Saccharomyces cerevisiae S288C: one gene and its partner. Changing the gene in region 1 together with any one later gene gives a genetic interaction. Each region holds a gene or a part of one and is shown on either strand. Other genes may lie near its edges.

Region 1 (2,600 bases):
CATCTGGATTAGAAACGACATCCATAGATGATGACTTGACGACAGTTGCGCCAAAAGGCTTCGCACATCCTGCTAAAATTTCGAATCCAAACAATGGTAAAGGCACCAACAATACAAAATTAAGAAAAAGTAAAAGATTTCAGAACCTCCTAAAGAACAGGACCGACATGCCACCATCAAAATCAAATAAAAAATTCGTTAATGGTGGCGGTGCTCATGAAATTTCAGATCGTAATTCAAAAAATTACCATGTTGTTGGATTATACAGCAAGAACTTCCCCATTTTAAGCAACAAGAATCCTAAAAGTTTAAAGCTGAACATTTTTATCAATTTATCACAAAATAAGAAAGTTTTTCTACAAGAATTGTCATTATACATCCATAGAGACAACAATTACTTTTCAAATTCCTCCTCATTTTATAATATTCCCAATAGCCACAATGGTAATGACTGTAATGGTGTGGCCAAGGGTTATAACGCTGGCTGTACAAGATTAATTGCTGGAAGGATACTAGTGAAAAACATTTTCTATGATAAAAGAGTGGTGGTACGATATACGTGGGATAGTTGGAGAACAACACATGAAGTGGAATGCGTTTACATCAGTGATGGCGATGGAATATTGCCGGGCACTAACATGGACATTTTCCACTTCATTATCGATGATGTCAGCAAAGTGGATCCTCGCGGCAAGTTAGAATTTTGCATTCATTATTCTACACGTAACGACTATGAGCGCGAAGAGTACTGGGACAACAACAACGGGAATAATTATAAGGTGGATGTTGTAATGGATGGCTTTAACGATCCCTTCGCGGCGGCAGCATGAAGGCAACCAGAAGGAAGGAGATGAAGAATGGACATAAAAAGCAAAATGACTTGCTAGATCTTGGCCTGAGTTACTCTCATGATTGGGACCGAACTCCGATAAATAACTCTAAAACATGCTAGAATATTTCAAGTAAATATACATAAATCACAAATAAGCAAATAAACAGATAAATATCTCACAAGAAATCGGGAGCCGATCTTCGATGTGTGTGGGCGTATATACAAATGTGCATTCGGCACGTAAAAGACTGGTAAAGGCTACCGTCCTTCAGTGAGCATTTTTTACATTCATTCAACGCTATACAGCTCTTACTGTGCGACGGAAACGCGACAAAATGTGAAGAGAAAACTAGGGGTTGCTATGACACGACCACGGAAGGCCTAAAAAGTTAAGTGACAGAAATCGTCATTGGTAAAAAAAACCCCGAACATGCCGATAAAGACTTGCTTATTCACCTACGATGACTTCAGAAGTGCGCCTATATTTCTTTACTTTTGAACACCCTTCCACCGCCCATTTAGAGAGAGCTATTTTTGTGCCTTCACTTCCGGCAGAGGTTATATTTTTTTTTTTTTTTTTTTTTTGCATACTACTCCTACTTCTTTCTACAGTCTCATCCCGACGCTTCAGTTTGAAATGTAAGGGACTGCGGCATTTGACTGAAAGAAGGGAGAATGGATGGTTTACTTTACTTTTTACGTAATGAAAAAAAAAATGATTGCTGTATTAGGACATCCCTGTTCTTTTATGTGGTAGCCTATATCCGATAACTGTTCAGCTATAAGACGTGAAGAGAGATTTTTTGGTACCCCTTATGCATTCAATTAAATAGAGAATTAGATATTTCTACCGATGTGCATTTTGTATATAAAGAAGTAGGAATCCCTTCTACAACGACAGAGGTAGACATACTGCTTGGAAACATTCTTTTCGTCCTTTTACAGAATTCTACATAGAAATAATAAAAACAAACAATAGCTTTACTACACAGTACACACTACAATGCAAGATTTAGAGATTTTTTTGAGTATTTTCGCTTTCATTTTCGTTTTCTACTTTGGTGCTCATAGAACAGTCATGAACAGAAACAAGAGCGATGTTCCTTACTTGCAGTGATTTAAATCAGCTAATCTGCTTACTGCCGCCAAGAGAGGTATGCAAAGTCAGTTCTACCTAGTCTGGCTTAGCGTTTTACTATTTACGAAGTTGATGTTCTGTTTTCTAATTTATCTTTTTTCTACTCATTCATTTCCACACTACACTTAATATTTTTTCAATAATTTTCGATGTTTTTAATCCGGTTTTCTATTGATGAGCGCCTTCTTAGCTCATACTTAATACACGTTTTTTAAGATTTATACGTTTGACAGCTCACGCTGTTTGACCAAAGTTATTTTCATTTTTATGTTCGTAATTATGTATTTTTGCTATTGTATATGATATACGTCTATATTTAGGCAATTATAATATGATTATAATATAACTTACTACATCTCTAAAACATGCTGTCTAGCCCTTCCATCGCAAGACTCGGCTAGACATTCGAGGAAGGCACAAAAAGCCACCTATCCCCATCTCTCCAAAAAGCTTCATTTCGAAAATAAGAAGGGAAACATCCGAATAAGACTAAAACTTTGTTCCTTCAATGACTACTAAGTTATTAGATGTCAGAAATCCCGCAAAATCGCCCGCATATCAAGGTAAGCGGCAAAACCCTATTCTTGAAAAAATGTAAATACTAACCGTGTGAGAATTTTAACGGTGTAT
Region 2 (3,397 bases), on another chromosome or scaffold:
CTGGGATGTTGAGTTTGGCTGCAAAGTTGTTCTTCGACGCGACTCATGAGTGGTATTCACGTCGGCATACGCATCGTTGACACTATCATTATTTGTTTGGGATTCATCGCTCCATTGAATAGGTTCATATTCTTGGGACGTCATCAAACATAAACGCTATACGGAAAATTAGTGGTTAAATGGCAATAGAGATGTGCTAATATTAGTATCAAAACAAATAGTTGTTGAAGAGGGTTTTCTAAACGGTTAAACGCGTTTGATGGTTAAATGACTAGAAGCAAAAGGAGACTGATTCTGAAATTTAATATGATTTCTTTTTTTTCTGCTGTTTCTCTTCTGCATTATTTTCTTCCTTCGAGAAAGAGTATAAGTATGTTTAAAAAGGTCTTCGTAAGCCACGCTAAAGCACCCCGGGTGGATTTTTCGCGCCGGGCGGGGTTAGCAGCACGCAGGATGGAAGAGAAGAGAAAGGATGCTACAAACTTGTGGTTCATTCTATACAAAGTACTTATATGTATATATACATACTCGATCAGCATTTCACTCCACACACCCTGCGTGTGATAGTAAAAAGCTAGAAAGCAGGTAAGCAACAACCTACGATTTATTCAGAAGCTTCTTGTAAGGAAGAGGTTATTTGTTCAACAATTGGTCTGATAATGTCCTTCTTGTTTGGAACCATATGTCCACCAGGGTGTTCGTAAGCCAACACCTTTTCCTTATTACCATTTTGCGCCTTCAAATAAATATCGTACAGGTACTTGGATCTGACGGATGGGACGGCTTGGTCAGAAGCACCATAGATGAAGATCATCTTGGTCTTCATGTCTGGTTTTACCGCAAATGAGTCTCTGAATTTTTCGGTTATTCTCAATTCTCCAGGATGTTCTGGGTCTGGCTCGGTGAAGGAATAGCCGGAAATGACTACACTTACCTTGAATTGTGGATGGTCTGGAACTAACTCTGAGATCTTGTTGGTGATGATAGAGGACAATGCGGCACCTTGAGAGAAACCGACAATGCCGTCGTATGGGCCATTGGCCTTGATGTGATCAACAACAGACTTCAAACCTTCTGAGATATCCAATTCGTGAGAGATTTCGCTGTGATAGAACCAGGCTCTGTTAACATCCGCATCTAGGGTGGCTTGCCATTTTTCATCATCCATTTCAAATGGCAAGTCCTTCTTTTCTAAAAGGACTGGTGCATCAATATAGTCACATTGGACATTAGCCTTCTTCAATAATTTTCTAATACCAGATGATTTTTCGGAGAAAACTTTACCGTTTTGCAAGAAGCCGTGTAAAAATAATAATTTTGGAATTTGTACAGTCATCCTTCGTTTATTACAAGCTAGAGAGTTTCAGATTTAGCTGCTACTTTTACTAGAAAATTAAGATTGGCCGCGTACATCTGGCATTTTGCACCTTTATGGTTTATATACAATATACATTGCAGCCAAAAACATTCGAAAACTAGAGAAAAAGAAAGAAAACATGCGAGAATATGCAAAAATGAAAAAATGCAAAATTTCTTTTTTCTTTGGCCTATGCGTGTTGCCTTTTGAAGATCCGAAACAATCTATCACCAATGACGTAAGCGGGAAAAGATTATGCAACATCCAAAGGAAAAAATATGCAAAAAAATCAATCATCCCATGCATACGGCGACTTGGCTCTCAGTCGGGCACCGTATTTGGTAAACAGAAATGGGACAGGAATCATCGCTACGGTCACCATTGCCAAGAGAAAGCCGGCCCAATTCACTCCCATTGACTTGTACATCTGGAGTCCGAAAAGAGGGAAGACACCGGCCATTATGCATCTCACAAATGTGTTACAAGCCATTCCAGAAGCTGCATATCTTCTATAGGCATCCACTGTATACGCAAAAACACCGGTAAAGACGAAATAAACACCTGAACCGAAAATTGCACTGCCTATAATTGGTGCAATCCAATGGACATGCTTGTAGCAGGTGAATGCAAAAATGAAGAGCCCAACTGGGGTCAAAAAGGCGCCGTAGAACAGAGGCTCGAATCTCATTTCGGGAGTCTTGACGCCATTATTTCTTTTGACTCTCCACTCAAACGTTTTTTGGAATAACAAGCAAGTAGGAGCCGAGAGTATCATGCCGACCATAATACCGATATAGGAGCATGCAATCTCCATGGGCCCAAAGTTGTAAAGTTTCTTGAACACATAAGGAAACGCTACGAAATATAAATATATTATGGCAAGTTCCAATCCAGTATAGAAGCAAAGCACACCCATCATTCGGTCTCGAAGTAACAGGCCAAAGGGTCTTTTGGTTGAGAGAAAGATTGCGGAAAGTAAGGAAGTCTGTTCGCGGGTGACTTCCAGGACAGCATAATACCGTTGATCATTTTTCTCTTTCCTCAATCTCTTAGCTTTACGTATTAACAGCATTGGTTTGTAGGTTTCAGGTATGGTAAAGATGATCATAACGAGACAACATCCAGAAGTGATGAGAAGTGTGATAAATGTCCATTTATAACTTTGATGGTATAAGGCTCCACCAATGATTGGTCCTAAAGAGGGCCCCAAAAAGGCCGATGTAGTGTATATTGCCATAGGAATACCAATTTGGTCTTTGTCGAATATATCGGCAATGGCGCCGCCAGCCACACTTAGAAAGGCTGAACCAAAAAACCCGGATAGAAATCTGCCAAACATGACACCCGTAATGGTCTTGGACCAAATGGTCAAACACTGCCATATGATACTGAGCGTAAGGGCGTATAAAAATGTGATCCTTCGTCCATATAGTTCACTTAGTGGAGACAGAAATAAAGGTCCTATACCGAGCCCAAACACATAAAGCGTAATTCCCAGAGTGCTGACTTCGTGCGAAATATGAAAGTGTTCGATTATGTGCGTTGAAGGAAGCGTCCAGCTGGACGAGATCATCGTAATTACCATCGATGTGAATGTAATTAACGAGGAAATATAATACCGGCGGGCGGTGCTCATATGCCGTGCTATATCTTCTGGGTCCGCGATGTCCTCGTTGAAGGTCACTTCATGCGATTGTTTGCCGTCATTTTTTCGTTCACTGGTCAATTCCAGATCCAGTTTTGCGGCTTTGTCTGAGTTTATTGAACAATGCTCTTCTTCAGTAGATGTCAATGCCGATGACTGTGCACTCGCTATTTGAAATTCTGCAACCATATCCTGTTGTTATATCTGCATATATATGTTCTTAGTATACAAGGTGATACCATACACCAAATGTAAGGCAAATATGCCTTTATATAGGGTCCAGGTGAACGTAACGCATCTAATAACAAGTGTTATTGCTTGACCTAATAATCTGAGATGGTCGCTTCACCGGTAGAAAAATTCTCTGCGTATTACTAATCTCAACAATAGCCAAC

The links. A genetic interaction does not mean that the proteins touch.
Region 2: mutations in YER053C-A (region 1) and FSH1 together harm fitness more than expected from each alone (negative genetic interaction), as found in Saccharomyces cerevisiae (one large-scale study listed by BioGRID).

Annotation. Positions count from the first base shown.
Region 1 is NC_001137.3:260,282-262,881, reverse strand, and holds YER053C-A (uncharacterized protein), read left to right. Parts: upstream 1-1,835; coding exon 1,836-1,949; downstream 1,950-2,600. Other genes in the region: GIP2 (Gip2p), read left to right, coding at 1-830.
Region 2 is NC_001140.6:204,401-207,797, reverse strand, and holds FSH1 (putative serine hydrolase), read right to left. Parts: upstream 1,337-3,397; coding exon 605-1,336; downstream 1-604. Other genes in the region: divalent metal ion transporter SMF2, read right to left, coding at 1-144; YHK8 (Yhk8p), read right to left, coding at 1,647-3,191.